Linked DNA regions of Drosophila melanogaster. The protein of the gene in region 2 interacts with the protein of the main gene of each other region in a pairwise test. Each region holds a gene or a part of one and is shown on either strand. Other genes may lie near its edges.

The links.
Region 1: the proteins of CG42319 (region 2) and CG3557 interact in a two-hybrid assay, tested with the Drosophila melanogaster proteins (one large-scale study listed by BioGRID).

Annotation. Positions count from the first base shown.
Region 1 is NT_033779.5:2,382,820-2,389,381, reverse strand, and holds CG3557 (uncharacterized protein), read left to right. Parts: upstream 1-3,589; 5' UTR 3,590-3,679; coding exon 3,680-3,875; intron 3,876-3,930; coding exon 3,931-4,550; 3' UTR 4,551-4,621; downstream 4,622-6,562. Other genes in the region: PIG-Wa (phosphatidylinositol glycan anchor biosynthesis class W a), read right to left, coding at 4,651-5,285, 5,339-6,083; Eogt (EGF-domain O-GlcNAc transferase), read right to left, coding at 6,378-6,562.
Region 2 is NT_033778.4:13,256,968-13,263,695, reverse strand, and holds the start of CG42319 (uncharacterized protein), read right to left. Parts: upstream 3,596-6,728; 5' UTR 3,279-3,595; intron 3,219-3,278; 5' UTR 3,009-3,218; coding exon 2,802-3,008; intron 1,212-2,801; exon of another isoform or gene 1,054-1,211; coding exon 902-1,053; intron 791-901; coding exon 699-790; intron 204-698; coding exon of another isoform or gene 31-203; intron 1-30. Other genes in the region: CG10799 (uncharacterized protein), read right to left, coding at 5,245-5,745; CG4716 (uncharacterized protein), read right to left, coding at 6,342-6,728.

The DNA.
Region 1 (6,562 bases), on a different chromosome or scaffold from region 2:
CAGACATTTCTATTAGCTCTTCGGAATGAATGCCAAGGCAATTTACGCTTAATATATGCATGATGCTGTCCGCCCGATAACACTCGAAGAATGCCAAGGGATTCGGGGGTGGAAGGTCCAAGGTTAAGGATGGGTGCTGTCCTGCCCTTCCCTTCTCTTCCAGGTTGTTGGGACAACGCGAGCGCCCCTGTTGCCATCTATATCTTTATCTATGTGCGGCACGTGGAAAAGTTTCGTTCGCTTAACTCTGACATTCTAAATGAATTTAATGACTTGGAAATGGCCACCTACCGATTTTGAATTTTAACATCGCCGGTTGTTTTCTGAGCCAGTTGTATCTATAAAGTTATTAAATTTCTGTATTTACCAGACAGAAGCTTTTATGGGAATTTAGAAAATTGCTTTTTCAAATCAAAGGTACAAATGAAATCAAAATCTGATCTGGCGATACCAACTTAATCGGCTAAAATCAATCGATTCCCCTGGGAGGGTAATTTGTATACTGGTATCTGAAAGGGTGTTCATATCTCTCAGATATAGATATCCCATCCTAGGCAAGTGCAACAGCCAGAAGACGGAGATCCCGGGGAGAACGATTGCCGTCTGAGGGAACTCCCAAAGTACCTTTTCACACATGAGCGCGCCAGGACGCAGGACGAAAAAAAAAGGAATGGCAGACGTTGACGAGGGGTTGGGACATACAATCCTCGATTTCTGTTGTTGTAAATCACAAAGTGAAACCGAAACCGTTAACGTGTTGCGGTTACGCTGCTGACTTTGCTGTGCGGCAACAACAACAAAAAAAAATGAGGCAGAAGTGATGGGGGAGTTGAGGCAAGTCATTCCATTTGGGAGGCTTTATTAAATGCGCACTGAGCTGAGGGGCAATGTCCTGTCTCGGCTTTTTATTGCGATTTTTTCGCAATGTTTTCGCTCTTTGTGTGAGTTTATCAAGCTCCTTACATTTGTTTTCCTGTAAAACGGGGGCAACTTCCCCGAGCAAACTTCTCTTATTTAATGATTCCTTTTAGAAAAGCCCGAATCGATGGGGGAAAACCGAAGGCTGGTTTCGCATTTCAACTTGAGAAATGTGAAATTGTTCCAGTTCCTTATTTTTTCCTTTTTTTTTTGTTGGCCTCCCAAAGATTTGTCAAATCTTTGACACAATGATGCATAGCGTTATCTGAGATTTGCCAAGTGAAAAAATAACAACAAGCGACTTTGCGAATTAATCTTCTTAATGCCTGGGTCCCATAACCATGGGCACTGAGTGGAGTGCTTAGGACACGGAATCACTTAATGCGATTGCCCAAAAAAGGACTCCTCCTTTGGGGCACTTCCAAAAATACTTGCTAATTGCTGCACTCGTTGAGAATGCAACTAGGCAATGCGTTTCCACTGGCGACCATGGCAGTGCACTTCCGAAGGCCATAATCATATCAGCTTCCGCACGATTTAACAGCAACGCAATTTTGATGGCAACCAGACCAGACCGAGTGCGTCAGCATGGCAACCGATTGTCTGTCTATTCATCGCTGGGTTTTCACACTGGAAAAACGTCGAAAATTATAGCAAGCTAAATAAATTAAAGGGAAATTAACTAAAACACAAATAGCTAGTATTTTTATATCACTAAAAAGGATGTCTTAGAGCATGCAAGCTAAAATAAGATGATAGGGTTGCATTTCAACTGTTGTTTTAATGTTTTTAAAAATATGATCTATTTTCAATGATAGTTGGTATATGCCAAGCACTTCTCTTTCGTTCTCTGTCCTGGATTCCTTTCGATTTGCTCAACACTTTTTTTGGCTTCGCATTGATTGCTCCACAATTGCGCAATTTCGCTCACTAAAAGCATTTCAAAGGACCTGTGGAATGGGGCTTCCTCTGCCTGCTGCCATGACGCATAAGCTCCGATAAAAACTGTTGTTCGATAAGCATTTTGTTTGCCATGTGCCTGAAGTTGTTAGGGCGTCTGTGCCCCAGCCCAAGTCACGAACTTCTGTGGTAACGCAGTGGGCTGCTGTGAAGGATTGAAGGCGGAGAAACGCTCGAGGAAGCCATAACGAATCAGTTTTTGATGTGGAACTTTGAAAAGTTCTATGGAAATTGTAAGAAAATTCAGAATGCATGGAAGGAGGCGATTCAATCGCAAGCAACTATATATTGCTTAATGCTAGGGAAACTGAATTAAAACTGAATTTAAGTCCTTTAAACAGAACCATGTAGGTGTCCTGCCACAGAGGAGCTATAGTTCAGACATATATTGCACATTCTCCGCACATTTGCCGCTTGGCAAAAGGTCCTGCAGCTTAGTCACCACACTGCCACACACATGGACACACACACCCACATGTACACATGATATTCATTATGAACGGCTTAAGCGATTTCCCCAGGGCCCAGGAGCTTAGTCCTTCACGCAGCAGACACACTCATGCATATGCACAGATATATTTGGGTTTTTATTTATTTCTTTTTATGAAAGCCCCGCTGAATGGAATCCGATTTGACGAGCAGTCGAAAAAAGGAACTCGTCAGCAAATTGGCAGCTCGAAAAAAGATGCGGTAAGCAGAAAAACCAATTCTCTACCTGATTGTTGGCCACATCAATCAGGATGTCATGTTCTACATGCTGGGGAAAAACATGAACATAATAATTAACGCTCATAATTCGACTCTCCCCAAAAGTGGACAACAATTCGCTTCTTTTGCTAATGAAAATAATCTGTCATCAAAGCCAAAAAGCCACCCCCTATGGTAACAGGTGCTCGTGCTTCCCGCTCTCCTGTTTTGCCTCATCCTGTTGCTTTTTCCAGGACACGCCTCCTGGTACACTATATGATTATATTTGGTTCCCAGCTATTAACTCTGCATAGCTTGTGGGCAGGAAGGGTTGAAAGGTTGGCGGACGGAAATTGCATTTGTGCTGGCCCAAATCAGATAAGATTCACCGGCGACGCCCTCGTCCTTGGCCAGGATATGACATTAAAAGCGCATCAAAGTCGAATGGCGAGCAGAGGCTACGCATCAGCAGCGGAAACTGTTGCCGTAATTACATTCGAGTCGGATAGAAAAAATTCCAAAGACGTATGTTCGGCAATGCGAACGCCTGATACCCTTTTCAGTGAGGAATTTTTGAGGAATCTTATCATTAGTAATCTTGATCTTAATTAATCTTCATCAAGGTATCTAAGTCACGAAATGAAAATGTTAACTTAAAACTCTAAGGTTTGTAGATAGGTTTTCGTATAGTTAAACCTCCTTTCGATGTCCTTTCCTTTGACAATAAGAAGCACATTGCTGGTCATTTGCGCGGTCCTTTAACCCTGGTCGCTTGTGAGCTTAGCTTCCCCCGGAGGCTGAACTTTGATTTGGTCTTTGTTTGCGCCGTTAAATTAAATGTCCTTGCCCAGCCGTTCGGGATCTGTGCTCATCCTGGATGCCCAGGGACAATGCAAGCAATTCCAGTCATTTCCTTAATAGAAATCTTATCTTTTGTGACGCCTTCGCCGTGTGCCTAAGCCGGATATCGCACCTTTGACATCTGCCCATGGCTCCTGACAAAGCAGGTCCATGCTAAGCACTCAAATATCTCTTACTTCCGGTCCGGCTTTTTGGGAGAATATCATTTGGAAAAATTGGGTGTTTATTTATACCAACACTAGCAGACGAAACCATGAAATCCTGTTGTGCCACTCAGACGACGCGTTGTGAGTGTCCAACGGGTCTCAGATTGGGGAAGAAGCCGCAGGCTCCACTCTTCGACATGCTGGGCCCGCATCCAGATGAGGTCATCATGACGATCCTGGACCGCATCCTCTATCTTTCGGGCGCCACGAAAATAATTCCATTGCTGGAGTTGTCGAATGAAGGTCAGTAATCGAAGGAAGTAATATAAATGCGTCCATAGATAAAATATACCCGTAGGATCAGCTTTTAAGAAGGAATCCTGCCCACCACCAGCACCCTGTGCACCAAGCCCTTGCAGTTCCGGAAGCAGCTCGGCTTATCCATCTTCATCGGCCTGGAGTACATGCTGCTCCAAGCCGTCGACTATCTGTTGTTATCCCAAGCCAACGAGATGCTGCGCCAGTCCAAAAGCTCCACTAGTGCCCTGCAGTCCAATGGATACTCCGAAATCTTCCTGCTTCAAGACCGCGAGTCGGCTTAGTTCCGCTGCCTGTTGTCCCCGCCAGCGTACTCCCAGGGTGGACTTCGATCACCCGGCGGAGGATATTCCGTTGAGAAATAAGGCGGGCAGCGCCACGATAAGGGAACAGATAAGCCGATCAATTTCCACCTGCTCGGTGGCCTGTCAACAGCTGAAAGACAAGCTTACATCCCAGATTGCCCAAGGACACAAGGACCAAAAGTGGTTGTGGACCCGTTTGATTCGTGGCAACGATGGGTGCATGGTGTACGAGGTGTACAAGGATTCCGATGTAGACAACTCTCCCTCTAAGATCGGGTCGGAGGCACCCATCATCCTTTTTCTAGTCATGCCGAATGGTTGCATCATGCCCTTTGAGTCTATTTGTGGTCCTTAGGAAGATGGTACTCGTTTTGTATACTTTTTAGCCTGTGGTCAGTTAAAAATAAACTTTCACCCGTACTTTGTATTTTGCTATTTAATTTATACAACAAATACTAAGCTACACGTATGCCTTTTTTTAGCATAAGGAAGACCACTCCAGCACAAACAAACATATAGATGGACAGTATAACAACAGACTCCAGATCACTTCGATGACCCGGGTTCAGGGACATGTTGACCATTCCCGTAAGGAAATTGGAGATCATGAAGTGAGTCAGACCGTTCATGTTCAGACTTTCAACAAAGGTGGGCAAGGATATGTTCTTTTGCCCGTCATCTCTAATTGACTTTTTAGAACAAATATCTGGCCGTACGAGTTTCAGCTCAAAGAAGAACGCGTAGATCACAATTAGGCTTAGGGAGACAGCGAAAATCCAGATTACATAGCCAAAACTAAAAGTTACACGTGCTATGCCCGTTAGAAAAGAACTTATAAAAACCAATTTCCAACAGAGAATGGCCACGAAAAGAATACTCTTTAACTTTCTTATTAGTCCTTGATAAGTCAGGCTATCACGGGAAGTATACCACTTGGCAAAGTAAATGCTGAGCAAATAGAGAGCCACACATCCGTGTAGGGAACTTAAGCCTTCCCGATTGGCACTGAAAAACCCCTCATGGGGTGCAGAAGACATGACGAATTCGGAGAGTCCCAGTTGGAGCACCACTTCGTGAAGGAATAGCAAACCTAAAATCGTAGGAAATTAAAATTTATTGCATTATTATTTTTTCTGGACCTACCTATTGCAAGTGCCAGGAGCTGTTCATCAGAGTTTACCAACAGACTATAGCAGCTGCCCAGCAATTTCGTGAATCCCAGTATGAAGAAGGCATTCAAATGGCGGCCGTATTCCGTCTCATCCTGGTGATAGTCGATCAAAGTGATGACAATGGTGCGAGCAAGCCCTAGGACCAGCAACGGAATAACAGATCTCCTTAGTTTCTTAAGATCAGTGATGCTCCGTGCTCGATGTGAAACCAATCCCATGGTCACCACAAAAAGCCCAATTCCCATATCCATGACAGCTGCTCCGAAAGTCCGGCTTTTCCGGTAATCCGTAGGATACGAAGGGAAATCCACAGCCAGAATGGCGGCACAGGTTCCACTGTAGGCAGTTGCTCTCAGCAGAGTGAAGACTATGGGTCTCTTACCGACCTTATACACGAAGTTTGGAGGATTGGGAGCGACATTTCCATAAATATAGACCAGAACAGCTAAGGAAACCACCAGGGAGTATGTGTAGCTATAGGCACTCCCCACTGTAATCAATATCACGGTGGGTAATCCGATCAGAAACAACTCCAGGAGAAATCTCCTCGTGGATAGCATCGGCAGGTGTCCGCAGAGCAGGCGGGAAAGAACAAATCCCAATATCGTGGGCAGAATGGTTAGAAAGCTATCTAAACTTTCCTTGATAGATCTCCAGGATTTCAAATCCACATCATTAAGTTCGTGCTCTACGAAGCTGGCCACCTCGGCCTCCATTATGTTAAATTTTTATTAGACCTCGGGTTTAAGCTAACGCATAAAACTATAAATTATTACGAACTTTTAAAGCCGGTTGAAAAATGTAAACAAAAACAAATAGTAATGTAAGTTAGCCGATAAAATAGCCGATTATGCAGCAGTCAGCTCTTATCTGTTAGCGGAACAGAAGCGAAATCATTTGGTCACACTTAAATAAATTCAAATTGAAAATGCAATCCTTTTGTATAATACCGATTTATTTTGGGTCTGGCATAAAGCAAAATAAATGCATTTAATCACAATTGAGGCAATCTACAGCTCGTTGCGCTGCGTTTTGGAGGGATTTTCTGATGCCCGTCGGGGGAATTCCTTGTGGGAAAGAATTTCCTCGGCTGCTCCATCGACAAGATGCACAAATTCCTTCACATCAAAGCTATAATTGGTAAACTTGGCGTGTGCGCCGCCCTCGGGATGATGACCCTCGTCCTGTGGGTACA
Region 2 (6,728 bases):
TGTTGGCATGCAATCGTGTGGTTGGTTCACCTGCTCCTCCTCGTCGGACGACTCGTCCTCGCTGAGCTCAATGACCACCTCGTTGCCCTCGTCGTCCAGCTGCGTTTTCGTTTTCTTTTTCTTGGGCTTCGGCGGCTCCGGAGGGTCTTGCCACATTATCGGATGCCAACAACGCGAGCCAAGCAGGGGGGTTGGGGTGAATTCTACAAAAAGATACAAAGCCAAGTGAGTTCGGGGCTCTACACAGGAAACAACTGGGGACTATGAAACCTAATGACTACATATTTACATTAATTGTTAATTAATTCTGATACGAACGTTATACATTTAAGACAAGTGAATTCTTATAAAGCAGTTAGAAGAGAGGCTGTAAATGAGTTTCTTTATTTTTCATTCTCCTATTACTAAGTATCATTCAATGTATTGTATTTCATTATTTATGGAAGTTTATTTAATCTTAATTGAAAATAACTATAAGCTGACTGAATCATCTTTTAACTTAGATATATATTTTTCTAGCATTAAGTGATATTTTCTTAGTAACTTATCAAACACACATCACATATTATTAATTGCACTTGGGTTATTAATGAAAGTAAAACATTTTCACTACACTTTAATGTCAGTAATAAAGGAATGGGATGGAGCTGTAGGCGAATGAACTGATTTGGGAAGCCATGCAAAAAGTAAGTACTCACCACTGGGCGGCGGCAAAGGCTTTGGAACCCGCATCACAATCGACTTCTCCTCCCCAGCCTCAAACTGGCCCATGGGATCGTCCTCCTCCATGCTGCGGGGTTATAGAGATGGACAGCAGACAGTAGTTTGCTCATTACGTAAGTTAAACGGCCTGAAAGCCTCCCAGACGCACCGCAGGCCAAGTGCATCTGGGGCAACCTACTTGCGCAGCAGGAAATGTATCTTCTTGGGTGTCGAGTTGATTTTCTCGTGGGCCTGGGACAGCGTCAGCTGCGAGGCGTCCTCCTCGTTGATCTCGAGTATGATGTCGCCCAGGCGAATGCCCGCTTTGTCGGCCAGGCCGTTGGGGGTAACCTGCAAGGACCACAAGGATGTCGATTGAAATCGAGAGCGTTGCGATGTCGATGCCGATACCGAAAACGTAAGTGAAAGCGAAATCGTGGCAGCTCCTTTCACTTTCAGCAGATGAAAGAGCAGCAAAAACCGTACCGTGCGAGTTTCGAGGCGCAATTGAATGGATATCTGCGTACTTTGAGTTTAGGTTCAGAAAATATAAGCGATGCGCGAACGACAGATACAGATGACATGTATACGAGATGAGCTGACTGAACGGCTGCTCCCAAAAGAAAATGGCCCAAAAATAATGAAAAAACAATAACATCTAAAAGAAAACAGACACAATGCGGTGTTTTTAAAGAAAGCATAATCAACTTGGCGTGTACCCTATAATAGACATCCCTTGAAAAATATAAAAATAGATGAAATAAATACGGTTCAGAAGTATATTACATATGTGAGAATTTAATGTTTAAAGAGCAAGTTTAGCTACGCCAAACTAGGCATTAAGTTCATCAAACTCTTCAAATGTTACCCTCAAAATGACTTGAATTCAAAAATAAAACAAACAAAACAACAATTGATATTTTTCTTTAAGACTAAACGCAAAACGTCAAAAGTAAAATGTTGCACAAAAGCCAAAAGCAATACTAATAGTTTTGCCTTATGGGAAATCATTTTGCATAGATATACGGTACAGTGCGTAACATTTTTATAAGTGTTGTTTATAATACAAATACAAAATGGTTATGACTTTGATTTCCAATACCCATAATCATGGGATTTCTCCAGTTGTAATGCGTGTAAAAATACTTTTATTGATCCGATATTCGATTGTATATCTGCTTCGACAAATATCTTTTATGACAACCAGCGTATTTATTTTATGTTTGATGGGAAGGGGTGTTCGGCTAACCCAAATATTGTACATTCACTCGAGACTGAAGTGGGCCAAAAAGAGCAAAACAGGCGGAGACAAGACACGCCAACTAAAAGGCTAGAAAAGACTTGAAGACCGAAGACTGAGCACTGAAGACCGAACACGAAGACCGAAGACGGGGCGCGGCAGGTGCAGATGGAAGAAACAATAAAATGCCCGCTTCTATTTGGCGGCAGCCAATTTGCATTCGATGCGACTTCGTCATAGCATAATTGGAATTCAAATTTGACGTGGGCTGGTGGGTTGGGTTGTTGTCATTCTGGCTCGCAACCAAAAATTGGAAACAATGACGAAACAGCAGTTGCAGCGGAAAGAAGCTACAGTAGATACTACTGCAAGAGTAACTCAAGCCAGTTGATTATCAATAAAAATTCTATACATTACGTATATTGTTCAAATAATTGAAAAATAGAAAAAAGATTTTAGTCAGCAGGTTTTCTCTTCTCAAAACTCTTCTTAAAATCTTAAAAATCAATTAAGCCTACGATGTATCTAAATCATTTTTTAACTTGAAATAAACACCACTAAGCAAACGCATACTATTTAATACCACTAGTTATCAACCATGTTATAAATTATCTTCATGCGGTGTAACTTTAATAAGTTTGAAGTGAAATGAGGAATTGGTTTATATTGCAAATTTCTATTGTATTTTTCCCTTTCCTGGTGGTTTCCGGTTATCCAGTTCAGCTTAAGTGCCTTAGCTAAAATTTCCAATGGCCCGAGATTGACTGTATCAATATAATTCTTGGCCAGGCACCAGATGGTCCCGTTCCCAAGGGTGAACCACCCCCATGCCGACCTCAAGCTTAACCACGCAACTCACCTGGAAGACTGTCAGCGGCATATGGAACTCGGCTCCGCCGGTTATGAGGAATCCCCACCGGCTGTCGTCCTTGGTGGCATACGCATCGGAGTCGACATCGAAGGCGGGATAGCCGTCCGTATCGCCGATGCCGCAGGACACCTTGATGATGGGCGCCTTTGACTTGGACTCCGGCACGGACCATAGCAGACCCAGTTGTTCCGGCATCGCTTTGTTTACCCGTTCTCTGGCGAAGAGATACCGGATCTCTTCCTGCTATCCGCTGGTTTTATTTATAAATTCGCACTCTTGCCGGCGGCACTCTTGCTTTTCTATTCTACCTTTCCACTTTTATATTGCTCTTTTTTTTAGCGCTGCGAAAGTTTTAGTTGCTCTTTTTTCCGATTGCTTGTTTGCGTTTGCCTGTCAAAATTCCGCCTGTGCAAAAATATTACTCGACTTTTGCCGGCTTTTCAACACAACCTGAAACTCGCTTACTTTCGAACTTTCTATTGAAAGTGAAGGAACTAGTTGAATGCCTGAACTTTGGGTAATTGTGCGACTTATATAATCAGCAGTCACGCATTGCACAACCCCAATCTCATTGGATCTTGGCCCGCAAAGTGGCGAAAAGTACGGAAACTCCGAAATTGTTGAATAACCAAGAATAAGCACGACTATGAGGGATAATTATGGAAAGTGTATTTAACGCTTTTTTTATGCCTGCTGCCTGGTTCTTTTGTTTTTCTTTTTTTTTTATTGTATTTTGTGGCTTCTCTTTCACTTCCACACGACTGCACTCGACTTGGGCAACTAAAATAATTTTCGAGAAGTTTTCCTTTGTGGCTGCATTTTTTCTATTTTCCCCATTCTCTCTCGCGCTTTTCCTCTGCTCCTCGTGGTCTGTTTTTCCTTTTTTTTTTTAGATAATGTGACGATGCAAAACTGTTGCATTCTTTGTTGCTTTTTTTTTTTGCCAAGTCGAAGCGTTTTTTGCTTTTGATTAAAGATCTTCTCAAATATACAAGTTTAAATTCACAAGTGCATTTGGTATTCATAGTCAAAGCATCAGCTGTTTTTTCTCTTTCCACTGTTATTAAGTTATTATTCATTGCTCAACAACGAGTATTAATTAAAGCTACGCATGCAAGCTAGTTTTATATTCAATCAAGAAAAGGAACTGGAGATGAAAGTAACAGATGATACCTTATAAATTTATTTATAAAATCACTACTCAAATACCAATTTGAAAATTCAAGCTTTTATAGTTCCCGAGATCATAGCGTTCATGCGGACAGACAGATGGACATACGGACATGTCCGGATATGCTAGTGATCCTGATCAAGAATATGTATACTATGTAGTTTCGGAAACGCTTTCCCTTACGTGTTATATACTTTTAAACGAATAAAGTAATTAATTCACGAGTAACATCCCAATTATTATCAACTAAGAAATGGTTAATTTAATTTACCTCTACCATAAAATCATATTTTAAAGCCTTTGCGCAGTTCATGTCCATACCCAACATCTTTGTGATGCACGTCAACTGCCAAGTTTAAAGCAGAATAAATAACTTGAACGTGCCAAGCTCACAGGCAAAGAATTCGACTTGTCAAATAAACAACAATGGAAATCAGAGTTCCATGTGTGGGAAATTTTCGGAGAAAGGCCCCAAAAAAGTGGCACACACCTGACAACGAAATTTCGATTAGCACAGGAAATACTACAAATGTGGATATGCTCATGTGTGTGATATGCATGTTTAAGGAATAGTTCGTACACATTTCTTTGACGTGGCCATAAAAGAGTGAACAAAACGTGCCTTATCAGCCGCAAAGCTGCAACAACAACAAATGGTGACAAACAAAGGGAGAAAACCGTAGGCGATTTTTTCGAGAAAATTTTTCAATATCCCAAACGTCGGAAAGGGCGCAAAATGCAGATGACACGAATCACAAAAAAGACTTCAGAAAACAAAAAAAAACAATTCGTTTAGCATATATGCATAGTTTTTCGTACGGAAACTAAAGAACATGCTGTGGTCAATTTCCTCGACTAACAGATACCCTAGCTTCAGTTTCAAAGAGAAGTTTCAAAGTTGGTTATAAGTATCGATCGAAATTCTCCAAAAGATTTTGTTGGTAATATTACAAAAAAAAATTTTATATTTCTAAATCCTTATTAACAAGATATTGGTTACCAAAGCGTTCTAAAATCACTTCAAGAATGCAGACCTTTTTTTAGTTCTCATGAGTAAATCATAAATTCAAAAGCGTAAACAAACATGAAACTGACATTTTTGCTCTGAGGTCAGACAACTTTGACGACTGCTGTCGTGATAAGGATGGTTTTTACTGATAATGAGGTAGATGACTAATGAGACAGGGGTTTCATGACTGAGGGAAACAAATTTCAGAAGAATTTTTAAATTTTTAGAATTCTTCTTTGCTTTTATTTAATTTATGAACGGTTGTATTGCTGTAGACGACCGGACTCTGGTAGAGTTTTACAAATCGCATACATATCCCTTATTTCAATTCTAGAATCTAGGGTAATACCGTTCTCCAAATCTCTGAAATCAGCATTTGGGCAAATCGTGGCCAGGAGCCCTATATTCCTGTTCCTCTCACCAGACCTGCGCCTTCTGACAGCGGACTCCGATTCTTCCTCGGATGCCATGATCAGCATAGAAGACGATTCCATTGAGCTGTCCATTTTATCGTTAACATTCTCATTGCTACCATCCGTGAGCTCATCATCTTCCGTGCTGTTACTAGTGTCCTTGGTAGCTCGCTTGCTGATAGTTTTCTCGATACTGCTCTTCAGATTCTGCTGCTTCGATAGCTCACTATAATCATTATACTCGGAATCCGATTCGGAGTCCTCCCAAATTGGGGGCAAAGGAAGTGCCGCGCTCAGCACAATGGCGGAGATTAGGAACAGCAAAACAGATCGACGCATCCCGGTAATCTTTGTATATCCTGGTAAACTCCACTATTCCACTAGCTTGATGGGTGGGTTCTTCTCGCTGAGACTGATTTTTTCGAACTGATTCTGGACAGCTGCACACGTTACCGGCGAAGCCTCAACAAATGTGCTATCGCCTCCTCGGCGATTATGTGATTATAGACTCAAATTCAATTGAGTCAGGCAGATAGTGGGTTTCAGAAATGACTCTTTATAATGCATGTAGATTGAAACAGACGCACTTAGTCCCTTAAAACAGACACGTAATGCATAATTTGACTTACACAATTAAATAAGCTAAGTTTCAATGTTAGGTGAGCTAATTTCCAAATGCATTTCAAGTAATGAAAATTGTAATAGTTAAATAATATGGCAAAATTAATTATTAGAAGAGGAAAATATTTCTTGTTGCTGATATTTATACGTGTTACTCGTAAACTTGAATAAACACACCCCATAAGTTAAAAAGTAAATAATACATAGGCAATAGCCTAATCTCTTGTTTTGATGACTCAGTCATTATAATAATAGTAAAAATGTAATATGGCTACGAAAACATAAGCTATAATGTTATTTATGTTTATTCAAAATCATTCGGCATAGGTGGCCTCGTTGGCCTCTTTGGAGCTAACCTCCATGACCTCGCATCCCTGGGCGTAGTCTTCGATGCTGGTGTTGTCCTTGTCCTTCAAAAGCTCCGCCACAGCCTGCGCCATCTGCTCGTCCAGTTCCTTCTCAGCCTGGGCATCCAGGTCCGGCGCATCGCTGGATTTCTGATCGGCAGCCTGGCGTCTTCGTCTAGACTCCCTTTGCTTACAAAAGCTTACGGCCCGGTCATATGCAGATTGTAGATTGAAATTCTTAATATCGAATTCTTTCAGTGACTGGCAAAAGGATCGCACCATCGTATCCTCCGTGCTTCTGCGTTTCCTAGCAGTGTGCTCCGTAGTTGTTTCTTCTACCGCAGCTGGTGTTGT